Linked DNA regions of Saccharomyces cerevisiae S288C. Changing the gene in region 3 together with the main gene of any one other region gives a genetic interaction. Each region holds a gene or a part of one and is shown on either strand. Other genes may lie near its edges.

Evidence for each region.
Region 1: mutations in AAD10 (region 3) and YKR104W together harm fitness more than expected from each alone (negative genetic interaction), as found in Saccharomyces cerevisiae (one large-scale study listed by BioGRID).
Region 2: mutations in AAD10 (region 3) and PUG1 together harm fitness more than expected from each alone (negative genetic interaction), as found in Saccharomyces cerevisiae (one large-scale study listed by BioGRID).

Annotation. Positions count from the first base shown.
Region 1 is NC_001143.9:653,403-659,022, reverse strand, and holds YKR104W (uncharacterized protein), read right to left. Parts: upstream 2,188-5,620; coding exon 1,267-2,187; downstream 1-1,266. Other genes in the region: VBA5 (basic amino acid transporter), read left to right, coding at 1-307; putative multidrug transporter NFT1, read right to left, coding at 2,287-5,620.
Region 2 is NC_001137.3:556,409-561,976, reverse strand, and holds PUG1 (Pug1p), read right to left. Parts: upstream 2,524-5,568; coding exon 1,612-2,523; downstream 1-1,611. Other genes in the region: YER186C (uncharacterized protein), read left to right, coding at 1-272; TOG1 (Tog1p), read left to right, coding at 3,297-5,568. UniProt on the Saccharomyces cerevisiae protein: Involved in inducible protoporphyrin IX influx and heme efflux.
Region 3 is NC_001142.9:723,107-728,771, forward strand, and holds AAD10 (putative aryl-alcohol dehydrogenase), read left to right. Parts: upstream 1-4,298; coding exon 4,299-5,165; downstream 5,166-5,665. Other genes in the region: PGU1 (endo-polygalacturonase), read left to right, coding at 1-794; YJR154W (uncharacterized protein), read left to right, coding at 2,678-3,718; THI11 (4-amino-5-hydroxymethyl-2-methylpyrimidine phosphate synthase), read right to left, coding at 5,468-5,665.

The DNA.
Region 1 (5,620 bases), on a different chromosome or scaffold from region 3:
TACAACTCTTGGTGGTGTGCTTTCAACCACTGTTTTTTCCGCCTCCTTTCACAATAAAGTATCACGAGCTCATCTAGAGCCTTACGAAGGAAAAACGGTTGATGACATGATTTTGTATCGTCTTCAAAACTACGACGGTTCTCATTCGACTATTGGAAACATTTTAAGCGACTCCATTAAGAACGTATTTTGGATGGATCTAGGGTTTTATGCCTTAGGATTTTTGTTTTGTAGTTTTTCATCCAATAAGAAATTAATCATACCAAAAAAGGACGATACACCAGAAGATAATTTAGAAGACAAGTAGCGCAGTTATTTTCTTATTTTCATTTTATTTTTTTTCGCCTTTTATACAGACTTCAACACAATCAGAATCAAATAGGTGTATCGCAATGGAATGTAATTTCTTAAGTATTCTATATGTACTTAAAACCTATTAATATATGGATCAGTAGTTCATAAAATTCATGCTGGTGCGTTCAAAGATGTGTCTTTAGTAAGAAATCTGGAAAATTCGCGAGCCTGAATATACTCATCGCAGTGCAAGAAAAAGGTTGTCTTCTTTTCTTTTCTTGACAAAAATGCAGCGATAACCTGTAAAGAGAATCTCAAATAGACACATGATAGCAGCTGCGTAATAACAGACCTCAACCGCAATCACATTAAAGGCGTAAGCAAATTTGGCCAGCAAAATTTTCGTTTGTTCCTCGACATAAATTCTCATCAGAAAAACTGTTTACTGTCAGTGCTTTTGTCTTTGCCGCCAATACGGCAGAGAATTACATAGTATACTACGATAAACTTCTATAAATTTAAATATAGATAAAAATAGCACGATATGAACCACGGTACTCTCCAATAGTATACTTGCGATAAAATCAGCAGCTAAGTACTGAATAAGCATTTAAATTATGGTATTTTTTTTTTGCTCCTGCTGAATATTCGGGATTCTTAACGAGAGAGTTTCTTTTGTGATGATATAATATTATTTTCTAGTATAAGTAAAACTATCAAAAAAAAGTAATAATAACGTAGCTTGTTTATATACCATAAAATGTACCAGCAAAATTTTGTTTGGCACAGACAGGTTCAAAGGAGTTATTTCTTAAAGTTCTCAAAAAAAGTAGTGGATTAGGACATATAGCCCTGAAAAGTTAAAAGCGACTTCCTGAATGCCTTCTAATTACACACAAATATATGACGTAAGCAGATCGTATACTTCGTAGCTAGAACTGGAATGAATAAAAATAGGAAATTCTAGTTGTCTTATCTTTTATTATCGAATGAGACTTTAGCCAACTCGAAAAGGTTTTCGAACTCGCCACTCTGCCTACAGAGGCGGTAAAAAATGGTATTTCGATCAGATATTAGAGTGTATGGATGATCATACTCCTTGACTCTGCCCATTTCCATCACCAGAATTTTGTCATAATCTATTACTGACCTTAATCGATGAGCAATAGTCAAAATTGTTGTATTTTTCATTGTTTCTCTTATAGTTTTCTGAATTTTAGCATCAGAAATATAATCTATTGAGGCGGTTGCTTCGTCAATTAGCATTATATTACGTGCACCAAGCATGGATCGTGCCAAGCACAAAAGTTGTCTTTGCCCTTGAGATAAGTTTGAACCACCTGATTTCACAACAGTATTCAAATCAATGAATCTATTTCTTAGTTTATGACTAGAAAAATTAGGCTGCTCTTGCTCAAAAATCAAGCACAATTCATCGCATTCTTCAATTAATCCCACTTTGGATAGTACGCCATAAATTTGTACATCAGAATACCGATCGAAAGGATCTAAATTAGATCGAACAGTTCCATCAAATAAAGTAGGATCCTGTGGGATGCAGCTTATAGAATTTCTTAAACGCTCTAAAGGGATATGTTTTATGTCTTTGTTATCAATAGTAATCGTACCGTTTTCCCAGTCTGAAAGCCGGTAAATAGCCGCTATAATAGAAGATTTCCCAGCCCCTGTTCTACCAACAATACCAACTTTTGTTCCTGCTTTTACCTTGAATGATACATTATCTAGTGCCTTAGAGGAATGAGGAGAATAGCGCAATGATAAGTTTTTTAGTTCAACATCTCCTGTTTGAGGCCAATTAGCTGGAGGTGATATGTAGCCGTTTGATTCGGAAGGTATATCTGTATATTCTTTTATTCTCTCTACTGAACTCATCAAAAGTTCAACGCTTGAAAATACTTTTATGATCCATTGAGCAGTTTCAGTAAAGGAAAAGGCATTCGATAACAGTATCCCCGCTAGCCCCGCATCCAACTATGAGGCCTTCATTATGATCATTACAGAAGAACTAAAAAGAACAAGTGTCCCAATTATATCCACTCTATATGTGATCCACTCGGTGGCCATATTGAGATAAAAAAATGGAGCATTACTTCTGTCAATTGCAACCAAAGATTGAGTGATAAACCTACGCTCATCTGCTAATGCTCTAATTGTAGTTACTCCTTTGATGGCTTCAGCGAATAACTGGTGTATTGGAGAGATATTGATGTTATCTATTCTCTTCAACTCTCTAGATGCACGAAGATATAACGTACATACGGTATAATAAAGAGCGCATAAAGGAATAGCAAATAACAGAAATTGAGGAGTAACATATCCAATTAAAAGTATAATCCACAGACAAACAACGACGCTATAAGAGAGTCCTTCGAAATTAGGGATCAATTGTTGATCAATAATATCCATATCCTTGCTAAATCTGTTCATTATTCTTCCAGTCGGCGTGACATTATGAAAACGTAACTTGGCATATAAGATACTGGATAGAAGCTTCGCAAATATTTTCTTGGTGACGTTGGTACCTGAAATTATTGCTATCCAAACTTTACCAGAAGTTAAAAATGAAGAAACAAGACCTATGATAATATAAGTCAGTAAGAAATAGATGTTAGAGTGACCCTCAACTATTCTATAAAGCCAGGTAGACTTACTCCCTGAAGATCCAGTGTCCAGCCAGTATCTGAGCCAAAAGCCCTGAGACAGTGTGATTCCATGAATAAGGATGGAGGACGAGGTGAAAACAAAAACAACTCCCAGTCCCCCGAAATAGTCTGCTAACCATTTGTAAGCTGAAAATTTAACTGATCCTTCCATTTTTGTTTCCTCAAAATTTTCAACTTCAGCACACACTTCGTCTTGCGAGTTCCCTCCCTCGGGATCTCCATTCTTAGTTTTCTTTGATGTTGTTGATCTTTTCAAGTCAATTTGATTGTGAGTTGTATTTTTTGAATCATTGTTTATGCTTTCCCTCAAAAACTCATTAGATTTAATGAGGTCCGATGGTTTACCCTGTGATTTCACCTCGCCACGATCTAAAATCACAAGCCAGTCAGCCCGTTTCGTAACTAAAGAAATATTATGACTCGTAATGATGCAGGTCCTTCCTTTCATCATGGGGCCGCATAAACACTCTTCATATATATAAAGTGCAGTTTCAGGATCTACTGCACTCAAGCAATCATCAAGGATCAAATACCTGGAAGAGGAGTAAATTGCTCTGGCTAAAGCAATCCTTTGCTGCTGTCCGCCAGATAAGGAAAATCCTCCATCACCCACGTCTGTTCTTATGCCAGCTGTCATTGCTTTGATATCTTTGTCAAGACAACAGGATTTCATTACATCATCAAATTTTTGTTTGTTGAAGATTTCTCCAAAAACAACGTTATCTTTAATTGTTCCACTAATCAACCACGGAGTTTGAGAACAATATGCCATTGAATTCGTCATTCCGTCTTTACCAATCTCTAAGTCGTCGCGGGATTCAACTGTAGGTACGTATATTTTTCCAGAAAGAAGGTTCAATTCTCCCAATAGTCCAAGTAATAGCGAAGACTTTCCTGACCCAGTCGGACCTATAATTGCGTTGAGACTATTCAGCTTAAAATCAATAGAAATGTTCTTAAGTTTAAAACTTGTTTCAGCAGCTTCCCATTCCATGCTTGCATCTTCAAAGCCAAATTTAGTATTGCTTTGTTCCAAAATCTCATATTTTCTTGTTTCTGATTCATTAAGATAATCCTGGATTCTTTCAAGAGAAATAAAAGACTGTATCAAAAGGCTGACAGTCGAAGCAATTTGGTCCATGGGTGTCCTCAATATTGCAAATAAAGAAAGAGCTGTAAATGCTATTGTAGGAGTAAGTGTCTGATTTTGGAATTTAATAAACACTGAGAATGTTATTGCAGAGACCAAAGTGGGCCCAAAGAACCAAATGAGATGGTTCAAAAAGAAAATTGTTGCCTTCTTTTTAAGGAGTCTTATTTCCCCATCTCTTACGTTTATAATCTTTTGATAAAACAGATTTTCCCATGCCAGTAGCTTTATTACACGTATTGAGTTCAGAGCCTCACTAATCCCAGAGGTACGCTTGTCAGTTAGGATTAATTGATCGGCCTGATAGTTCCCGTAAAAAGTTGCACACCAAAAATTCAAAGGAATCATGGCAAGAAGAGCAAAGGTACCAGCAAAGGCGGACCATCCCAGTAGGGAATATAGTATCATTAGGGCCGTAACTGTCATGAAAACTGCTTCACATGCCAGATAAAAAGTGTTCATAGCTTCAGAAACCTTGAAAGCGTCAATTGACATAACATTGTTCACAGAGTTGTCTTTCCTACTAGACTTTTTTCTAGGTTCCGCTTCAGAAGAGTCAGGATTTTCTTCAAAGGATGTTGACGCATTTTTTTGAAGTGACGTTGTTGAGTCTTTTAGAATTGTTCTTCTTAAGGTTTTGGAATAGATATTGGATATCAAAACTGTTCTTAGTTGCATAGTACCCTTTTCACCTAAAAACAATCCTTGACCTCTACAAGTCGTGGCAATGATTTTACTGACGAGCATAGATGAGACGTATAAAGACACCAAGTTCCATGATTTTGACTTTGGGTCATTAACGTATGATAGTATTCTTGGCATCAACAATGAGGGTACAAAGTTCAAAAAACTAGATACAAAAGCCAGAAATAATTGGGAGATGAAAACAGCCTTAAAATAACAAATAATGTTTGGAAGGAGCCTTCCTTTTTTAGAAGACATTTCAAAGTTCGCCAAAATTGCTATAGACTTATTATTAATATCCAAATCCCAAATATCAGCGTTTCCAAGGCAGTGTTTGTATGCTTTCCAAATAAGCCGATCAATCCTAGAAAAAGTAAGAAGGCCAAAGACGGTAGGAGCCGGTGGCAACTTTTTGTTCTCATTTTCAACCAAAAATGAGTACCTAGTTCCTTCTATACTTGACGTTGATAATAATAATAAAAGCGCTAAATCAATGAAAGTCTCGGAAATGATATATTTGACCATAATTTTATCTTTTATCTTTCCAATGAAGACGGAACGAAGAGGTAAAATCGAAAGAGTAAACAGGGATGCATATGAGTAAAACGAAACAGCCCATAAATCACGCTTACATGCTAAAACCCACCGAAATGACTGGCTTGCTGAAATTAAACGAAGTGTAATAACAACAAGCAGTAAAATCCAGAGAAACATTTGAACCAGAAAACCTTGGTGAAAGAACTTTTTGTTATCCATTGGCATACTAGATAAAATATACAGGTGGATAGTAAGCTGCAAAACAATGAAG
Region 2 (5,568 bases), on a different chromosome or scaffold from region 3:
CAGAGGTGGGTGATAGCATAGAGGACATACCTAAATTTGATTGGGACTCCTGCCCTACTATTGGATGTATGTGCAGAACTAAGGAGGCTCTTTTTCAACCTGAGTCTCGAAAAGATATGCATATATGCCCTCAATTATTTTTAGGGGAAACCGGACCGCCACATTATAATGAGAGTTCAGTTCCGTGGCTAACAAAAATGAATATATGCATTTCAGTGCTAATAAATTTCCTTGAATATACCGATTTCATGTCTTGGATGCAGGATAATTAGAAATTTCTATTTAACACTGCAGAAAACTGTGTTCATTTAAAGAAATTCTTGCGGGTTAATGCTATTATGATATTTTCTGTTGATTTGGTGATAAATTATATTATATGCTATATACTAATTCCTTTGGAAATAAAAGAAGGCCTTAAAATTACCCTGCGGAGGGGACTATTAAATAGAATCATTTATATGAATACTAAGGAGAGTTCAGTATCAAGATAACAACGAAAGTTTGAACTGCTAAAATTATTTTCAAGTATTGCTGACCGTTAAGAAATTTTCTGCTCCATTAATTCATTGAGGCGAAGACAAGCGCACTTTTACTCTTGTGTTTATAAAGCTAAATGACATTGTGGCTCACTTCAATAGCCGTACTCTTTGAACTAAAAAATAATTCTAAGACACTGAGTTTCACGTCAATTGAAAAAAAATATATAACACCAGCTTCATTACATGTTAGTGTGCCTTTAATTTGGCGTTAATACATTCTCCTTGACACATACTATACATTGATTCTGTGATGAGTACCGATATAGGAGGCCGATGTGCTGTTCTTCTAGACGAGTTTTTTGTAGCTAAATGACATAGGTGACTGCTTTAATTTCGTAAAGCACCAAACTTCAAAGGCTCTGTGTACACTCTACAGCCGTGACTGAGAAAAAGGCTAGGTACTTTAAAAATTTCCTACAAATATAGATCAGGGAGGGCAGTACTTAAAGAAGAAACTCCTTCCAAAGGGTCTGGAAATCATTATTAGGGCCGTCATTACGACTTAAGAGCACTTTGAAATCAGTACCCTCTGTTCAACGTGAACAAAAATTTTCGCCACACGACACTTTTCTGGATGGGCGTGATTGTATTAGCTGCCATGGTTCAGTAGTCTTCAATTCAGTGACATACTTTATTGTCATGAGACCACTCAACAGCAACAATATAAGAGCAGAGAGACATTCCAAGGGACAAGAAGATATAAGTTTTGACGTTCAGGAATCTTTTATCCAGTCTGTCTTTATTTGAATGTTTTATTAGACTTCAGAAGTATCCCGATATGTACAAGAATCTTTCTCAACGAGCTACTTTTCTCTTAATCTTGATTGTGTTTGTGATGCCACTTAACAATGCGGAATCTAACGAGTGTTTACAAATATTTTGTTCTCGGCGAAAAATTCAATACATTGCCTTCCTTTTCGGTGCATGATTGTACGGCTGAGAATGGAGAAATAGTACCGCCTAGATCTTTCGTTTTAATGGCTTCAAAGCAGAAGAGGAAAGATTTTTATTCTAAATGAAGTTAAAATTGATTGGCTGCACTACATAGAAATCAAAATTTGATATATATTATCTAATTACTTAACGTTTGACACTCCTTTATAACATCGAATACGTTGCCGAAAAAGGATCCCACACTAAATGCTATTATTACCAATAACATAGGTACAGCATCGAAGACATATATGAAATACTCATGAGAGATTATATAGCCATTGAATCCCTGAATAAATTCAACTATTCGGACAATTGAACGTAGTAGGATCAACATACTGCTTAATAATAGGGTAGCATTCACAAAGATCCACTTTCTGGAAATATCTTCGTAAAATAAGCATCTCCTTTTAACATTTACTGTGAATCTTATCTCATTGATAATGAAAAATCCAAAAAAAATTACCTGTACAAAAAGACCCGCAGTTATGAGTCCTGAACCAGTCTTCGTTGATCCTGCCTTAGACATTAGTCCGCCACCTGCAGCTTGTAAAAAGAAACTAAACACATCTCCCACAACAAAGAAAGTCGTACCAAAGCGTGCAGAAATCAAAATTAAAGATTGGCACCTCATAACATGTAATAACCTTCCAAAAATCATATAAATCGTCGCAGCTATTAGTGCTGGAGCGACTAATAAAAGAACAGATTGGATAATATATGGGGTCGTTCTTTCAGGATTGGAACTGGATAGAGCCCTCCCGATATACCCGACAGCTTCCATGATGCAGCCAGTGAAGAAAGGTATAAACGCAAAAACTGTGGGTGTGATTTTTAGTTGCTTGTATTCAGCATCCTCAAGACTATCGACCTTATCATCAGATGACTCAAATGGATTATTTTTCAATGCCTTAGAAGATTTTCTCGCAGCATATAAAGTTTGAACGGCAAAAATGACTGTCATTATAATGAAGAGTACGACAAATACGATTGCAGCCGCTTTACTTGGCGTATAGTGGTAAAGTACGAACCCCGAATCAGTTGTGGACATTTTGGAACGTTGATGGACAATAAAAGATTAAGTAGCTATGTAATTGGACACTATTAACCTACTATCCTGGACATTTTGAGGCAAGAGACTATACATCCCACAATTGATTCGGTAGGTGCTTTTATACTGATTCATTTGAGGTCTTGGCATTTGTTCAATTGAAGTACATTTAGTTGAAAAGTTGAGATTTATTTAGGATGAGCTTGCCGCGGCATGGGGAAAGAAACACTTCATCCTGTATGGAGAAAAACCACTTTGCCGCGGCACATCAAAACAGGGCTGAAACCTTCAGTATGCGCGATACCATTACACGACAATCGCATGGCTTAGTCATAATAGATCGAGGCGCTCATATACATGGCAGCCACAATATTTGAAGGTCGACAAATAAGGACAATATCAACGGTTAGGATACCGAAACTTGAATATGGCTGGTTTCTCAGGAACAGCCGATACTGTCCTGATCTTAACTTAAGGTGCGGTGAAGTAACCTGGATTCAACGCTGCATGAAAGACCTGATTAGGCTTATTTGATAATCCAACAAAAAAAGTGATTGGTTGGTTTGCTAGTATTCAAAAATAACTATTTTGGAGTACTTTGTTTGTTTGAAAGGCTGGGTAATAATTTTTTTGATGTGTGCTTTGAACAGTAAAAACTTTCTTCCTTTCTATAAGCTAGAAGCAAATCCAAATCTCATCGAATAAGCGCATTAGGTTAACGACATTATTGTTGTTTAAATTTTAAGCTTTTTAGCTTTTTATATTTTATTGAGATGGCAGCAAAAAGAGGATTAGCCAAACAAAAATCTAGGGTAACCAAGGCCTGTGATAGATGCCATAGGAAAAAGATTAAGTGCAACAGTAAGAAGCCATGTTTTGGGTGTATTGGGTCTCAATCAAAATGTACGTATAGAAATCAATTTCGTGAACCGATTGAGGCTTTTTTCAATTATACTGGTAGTCTCAGTAATGATTTGGATAATGCTAAGTGCAGCATAGCAAAATTGAAGGCACAGTTACCTCCAAGCGCACCGGCCTCTTTACAGAAAGGCCTAGCAAACATTTGCACTGAGCTTGAAAAAATACAACCTCAGCTTTACCTCAATCTGGACAGTAAGGAAATTAGCTCGTATGGTGGCCTGAAATCGATAGAAACAGAAATTATCGGGAAACAGTCAAAATCTTTGAATAGGTTCTCCAACGCTTTTGAAAGCAATACTGCACAAAATGTCAGTATGTACTTTGGGGTCTATTCACCGTTGCTATATTTTGCCTCTACGGGTATTAGCTGGATAACTAAAAAATTGATTTCATGTTCGAATGATAGGGAGACGAGAGAAACTATCTATTTATTTTTGAAGTTTCTTGACGCTAGCTCTGCTAGCCATGCTGGTCCTAAAGTAACTTCGATATCTCCTTTAGAGTATTATTCAAAGCTAAACGGACTTTCATGTGGGAACGACGTACTTATTCAACACATTATGTCAAATATATCGAATGAAATCAAAGGAAATACAAACATTAACCAAACAATCAAATTCAATAAACCAACAGACTGGTTTATGTACGGAGTACAATTGATGGAACAGCACCACAAGGCGTTGGATCGTAAAAGTTCCAAAAAATTACTTCCTTTGAAATATTTTCTTGAGCAAGATGAGTTGATTTTTTGTCTCTGTCTTGAATATTTTGAAAGATCCCTATTTTCGACAATGTACGACTTGACTATTTTAAAGGGCTTAGTCTCGTTGATGAAACACAGATATTGGATAGACGATCCTTTTGTGCTGGGAAGAATTATTTCCACGATGTCCAGGCGAAGTTTGGATGCTGGTTTGAATCGTTGGGAATATTATATTGGTCAGGATGAGGACACTGCCGAAGAATATCGTAAGTTATGGTGGGACTGCTACTGGTGGGATAGATGGTATTCATTGGTCACCGGTAAGCAGCCATTGATACCACATGAAATGACTTCGTGTCTCTTTCCCAAGGATGTGGTTGGATTAGGGGTAGATGATTCGATGGACTGTTTTACTTTAATAAACTTGGTGGAGCTCGACCCAAGTAAGTTTGATATTTGTATCTCTTTCGGCTATATTCTATTAACGAAAATTATTACAGCGGTATTCTCTGGTTTGCTTTATAATCGACACTTTACAGACTACAGATTATTTGCAACTCCTAACGCTAAAGACCTAAATGGAACCGCACGACAGCTTATGGTAGAGTTTTCAAAAATATGTAAAATTTTTCAGTGCATACAAGACAAACTAATCCCTTTCCTCAAACAATATTCTGAAAATAGTAATGTATTTGAACTATACACCCATTTCGGATTTGCAAAGGTTTGTTGTTTTCAGGGAATGGAGAGTTTAATTTTAAGGATACAAAATCTTCTACAAGAAAGAGAGAGAATTGAACTTGATTCCTGCGTAAAGGACATCAGGCTTCAAACCTTTGAAGCATCTGTAGATATTTTGACGGATGTTCTCAAGCACGAAGATACGTTCTATATTTTCCGTTGTTCGTGGTTCATATATGCCATCTTGATGAATATTACCTTGAATTTTATCGAGACCCCTAGAAGGAACTCGATATGTTATTTATCCTTGATGTGCCGCATGATAGCCTCATATAATGACTTATTTGTGAGCTCTGGCAATGTTAATTTCAAGGGCAACAACGCCTTCTCTAAAAAGTTGGAAAATGGAACAGCGGTTTCTTTCATCCTAACACGCATCTGCTGTCAGATGTACACACGTTCACAGAAAATGGCTAAGGAATCGCTGTTTTGTGAATTGAAAAAATATGGCCAGGCTTGCTCAGATGCTGGTCAAGCTGCGTTGGACATTGAATGTATCTGGTACAGGAATATTATAGGCGAACACAAAGAATCAAGCTTCCGTAAAGAAATTCTCAGCATTCTTGATAGGGAAATGGGTGATTTGGTGAATAATAGAGTTATTGGCGTACAGGGAAAAAATCAAGAAGGTGCTTGTTATGAGAAGTTGTCACCCAGCAGCACCAGTGTTTCAGTTGGCA
Region 3 (5,665 bases):
TTGGTGCTTCGGGACATACCATTGATGGTCAAGGAGCAAAATGGTGGGATGGCTTAGGTGATAGCGGTAAAGTCAAACCGAAGTTTGTAAAGTTGGCGTTGACGGGAACATCTAAGGTCACCGGATTGAATATTAAAAATGCTCCACACCAAGTCTTCAGCATCAATAAATGTTCAGATTTAACCATCAGCGACATAACAATTGATATCAGAGACGGTGATTCGGCTGGTGGTCATAATACGGATGGGTTTGATGTTGGTAGTTCTAGTAACGTCTTAATTCAAGGATGTACTGTTTATAATCAGGATGACTGTATTGCTGTGAATTCCGGTTCAACTATTAAATTTATGAACAACTACTGCTACAATGGCCATGGTATTTCTGTAGGTTCTGTTGGTGGCCGTTCTGATAATACAGTCAATGGTTTCTGGGCTGAAAATAACCATGTTATCAACTCTGACAACGGGTTGAGAATAAAAACCGTAGAAGGTGCGACAGGCACAGTCACTAATGTCAACTTTATCAGTAATAAAATTAGCGGCATAAAAAGTTATGGTATTGTTATCGAAGGCGATTATTTGAATAGTAAGACTACTGGAACTGCTACAGGTGGCGTTCCCATTTCGAATTTAGTAATGAAGGATATCACCGGGAGCGTGAACTCCACAGCGAAGAGGGTTAAAATTTTGGTGAAAAACGCTACTAACTGGCAATGGTCTGGGGTGTCAATTACCGGTGGTTCTTCCTATTCTGGATGTTCTGGAATCCCATCTGGATCTGGTGCAAGCTGTTAATCCTCTTTTAAAGTACTCATATGACTATACATACCTTCTTTTCTTTTCTTTACTATTCAATACATAACAGAACAAAGATGCAGGAAAATATTGGTATTTGTTCGGCAATTTATGCTGGGTTTTTTTGTAAATTCAGGTCTAATTATTACTGTTGATTTGTATCAAGTTGGTATCTTTTTTGCCATTTAATAATAGAGATACGCTATGCTCATCCGGATAGCAACAATGAGAGCCTAAAAGTCCTAATTGAGAAGAAAATCTCTGTTCAAGACTATAGTTTATGTTTCATTCTGGACCCTTGGGATCGTCTGAAACAGGAAGGTCAATAATTGGTAAAAAAAATGGTAAATGCGACTAAGTACTACAATTGAAACGAATGAGCGCACTTCATCTGCCTACAAAACGCTGCGGCTGAAAAAGTTACATAAAAAACCGTCCTCAATAGCGTTAATCCAGCGTACATGAGAAAGTAATGACAAAGTCTTCGGTAATATCAGTGCATCTACCAATATGACACAATTGTGAAACTTCGCTGACTCAAATAATAGCCCTGTTTTTTTGACCATTGTTACCCATCGAGCCAGTGAGAAAAAAGCCAAAATATCTTTAAGGCCTTCTCCATTTTATGTTTATCGATATTGTGTTGTCTGCAATATTGAAATTTTAAAGGCTATTTACTTTGCCTCTTGTTATAAACTAAGTCTGCCGAATTATGCAATATATAGCAAAAGCTGAAAATAGATGTAATTACATAATTCGCAGTTGTATATGAGTATCCTTAACTCGTACATTCCAGTTCATCTGTGACAAGGCACTGTTTTCCCTAATAATTATTAGGGAAACGTCCTTCAAAAATCAAAATAATTTTAGAGAGTCTCATCAACCTTCGCCATAGTTCGTGATGAAAACTTTACGGTACGTCAGACTTTAGATATTGATTTTTTTATTATTTCTCCCATCGTGAGTACAATTACCCTAGTTCGAACTATATCTTTCATTACTGGCGGAAAAAAAATTCAACGAATGTTCTTGGCTCAATATAGCTTAGTATTTATGTTTAAAGAATTTGTAATATGCGTTACTAGTAATTCCTTTGAATTTTTGAATGCTTTAACTGTGAGTTGGCGTACATGCAGAAACGGCCGTTTAAAATTTTACCGATTGCAGTGACAGAAAAGCTAGTTGAATATTTGTTTACATAAGCGATTCAGATAGACCCCTAATAATATCAAGCTAGATATGCCTGTTGGAAACTTCTCAAAACCTGCGCTAGACGTCCCACGCAATCAACTTACAGATATGTCAGTGCTAGGGAAAAGCCATAGAATGTTGAAAAAAGCGAAAAGGGTTTACTAACTTAGGCAGGTTGAAAAGCTTCTCGAAAAATAATACCTTTTGGTAAAACAACGTAAAGAAGTACTGCCATAACGTAGAATTCTGCAGTTATGAACATACTACAGGCGAAATTGCTAAAATTAATGAGGATAGTCAAAATTGGGTTATGAATCAAAGTTTTTTATAGATTTTCAGCACCGGTGTGGCTAGTAGTCGTCCATACATGACTCAAAGAAAAAAAAAATAAGTGACATAACGCGAAGTGAGGCATTATTGGGCTGCTAAAGAATTTTACGTTGGAAAAGAGGCAAGATTGTCTCATTTTCCTTCAAAATGAAGGTACTGCTGCCCCGGAGTAATAGTAATTTATTCTCAACAGAAATAGAATATTTAATTAATCAGAGTCTAACATTAAGGTCATGTGTTGATAGCAGGTGACGCGTCTGTAAAACTAATAAAGTATATAAAGCACATCCATGAGATCTTAAGACGAGAGATTTCCCCTACTCAAAGTACAAGCAGGACAGATTCAAAACGCAATCCATACGATGAACACAGATTCACACAACCTTAGTGAGCCATACAATATAGGTGGCCAAAAATACATTAATATGAAAAAAAAGGAAGATCTTGGCGTATGCCAGCCTGGCTTAACGCAAAAGGCATTCACAGTCGAAGACAAGTTCGATTACAAAGCAATTATTGAAAAAATGGAAGTATACGGACTTTGCGTGGTCAAGAATTTTATAGAGACCTCCAGATGTGATGAAATATTGAAAGAAATCGAACCGCATTTTTATAGATACGAATCATGGCAAGGCTCACCGTTTCCTAAGGAAACTACTGTGGCAACGAGATCGGTTTTACACTCATCTACAGTCTTAAAGGATGTGGTATGCGACCGTATGTTTTGTGATATCTCAAAACATTTTTTGAATGAAGAAAACTACTTTGCGGCGGGAAAGGTGATTAATAAATGCACTAGTGATATTCAACTGAACTCCGGTATAGTCTACAAGGTTGGCGCTGGTGCAAGTGACCAGGGCTACCACCGAGAAGATATTGTTCATCATACGACCCATCAAGCATGTGAACGTTTCCAGTATGGAACCGAAACCATGGTAGGGTTAGGTGTAGCTTTTACAGATATGAATAAAGAAAATGGCTCTACGCGAATGATAGTCGGTTCACATTTGTGGGGTCCGCACGATTCCTGTGGGAACTTTGACAAGAGGATGGAATTTCACGTTAATGTTGCAAAGGGAGACGCAGTTCTATTCTTAGGGAGCCTCTACCATGCAGCCAGTGCAAATCGTACGTCACAAGACAGAGTTGCTGGATATTTTTTTATGACAAAGAGCTACTTGAAACCAGAGGAAAATCTTCACTTAGGGACTGATTTGCGAGTGTTTAAGGGTTTACCATTGGAAGCCTTGCAACTGTTGGGGCTCGGAATTAGTGAGCCATTTTGTGGTCACATAGATTATAAGAGTCCAGGACATCTTATCAGTTCTAGTTTGTTTGAAAATGATATCGAAAAGGGGTACTATGGAGAGACAATAAGGGTGAATTATGGGTCCACGCAATAATCATTGTAACGGGAAAACATATCACCACAAGTTCGCTGTAAATGTGCAGACTGGGTGGCATGCTTCAAAAGCCTATTCTAGTACTTCCCTGCTGTTTTCGCACGGAACCGGTAAGAAAACTTCGTACCGAAATCGAACAACTTTCATTACTTGCACTTGTACAAATTTAAGGGAGCGGGATTTTAAAACATATAAAAGGATAGTGGCACAACTAGGAATAAGGTGTATTACCCAATATGATTCTCACCTTCGGTTGGGGACTGGTTAATTAATTGAATAGCTTCATAACCCACCGCCGCAAAATGTGCTCTTCGAAATGTCTGAGGCTTTTGGACCTGCACCTGAACCACCTACCGAGTTAGGACGTCTTAGGGTCCTATCTAAAACAGCTGGTATAAGAGTTTCTCCACTAATCCTGGGAGGTATGTCTATTGGTGACGCCTGGTCTGGATTCATGGGATCAATGGACAAAGAACAAGCTTTTGAGCTACTTGATGCTTTTTACCAAGCAGGCGGAAATTTCATTGATACTGCAAATAATTATTAGTATGAGCAGTCAGAGACTTGGATCGGTGAATGGATGGCATCAAGAAAACTGCGTGACCAGATTGTAATTGCCACTAAATTTACCACGGATTATAAGGGGTATGATGTAGGCAAGGGGAAGAGTGCCAATTTCTGTGGGAATCACAAGCGCAGTTTGCATGTAAGTGTGAGAGATTCCCTTCGTAAGTTGCAAACTGATTGGATTGATATTCTTTACGTTCACTGGTGGGATTATATGAGCTCCATTGAGGAAGTTATGGATAGTTTGCACATTCTTGTGCAGCAGGGCAAAGTACTCTATCTAGGTGTGTCTGATACTCCTGCCTGGGTTGTTTCTGCAGCAAATTACTACGCCACATCTCATGGTAAAACTCCCTTTAGTATCTATCAAGGTAAATGGAATGTATTGAACAGGGACTTTGAACGTGATATCATTCCAATGGCTAGGCATTTTGGTATGGCTCTTGCTCCATGGGATGTTATGGGAGGCGGGAGATTTCAGAGTAAAAAGGCAGTGGAAGAGCGGAAGAAGAAAGGAGAAGGCTTGCGTACCTTTTTTGGTACTTCGGAACAGACGGATATGGAGGTTAAAATCAGCGAAGCATTGTTAAAAGTTGCGGAAGAACATGGCACTGAGTCTGTCACTGCTATTGCCATAGCTTATGTTCGGTCTAAAGCGAAACATGTTTTCCCATTAGTGGGAGGAAGAAAGATCGAACATCTCAAACAGAACATTGAGGCTTTGAGCATTAAATTAACACCAGAACAAATAAAGTACTTAGAAAGTATTGTTCCTTTTGATGTCGGATTTCCCACTAATTTTATTGGAGATGACCCAGCTGTTACCAAGAAACCTTCATTTCTCACCGAAATGTCTGCCAAGATTAGCTTCGAAGATTAGTCAAATCAATAGTTTTAGTATGTTCATAATGTGAAAAATGTTTATATATACGCTTACACACACAGTTTGATGATTCAAATACTTAGAGAAAACTTTGCCGCTCATGCATTTGCAGGCATCTTTTATTGTGTTGATTTTGCGAGGAAATAAAGTGTTAAGATAAAGGGAGTTCATTTAAAGCTTGTATACATGCTCTGATACATAAATATGTATGTCTATATATCGAGTAGGAAACAACAGCTAATGTGAAATCATAAACAAGTCGTAGAGGAAGGCTGGGCTGAACGAGTGACGAAGCACGTTTAAGCTGGAAGAGCCAATCTCTTGAAAGTACCTTCCTGTCTGCATTTTTCTTGATGAATAGCCATCAATCTTTGAGCTTCCAAAGGATCAGAAACCTCTTCTGGTTCTGGCCAGGACAAGTATTCATTAGTGTAGTTCGAGACATAGTCTGGTGGCAGAATGGCTAATCTCTTACCGTAACCGGTAACCTTCTTCCA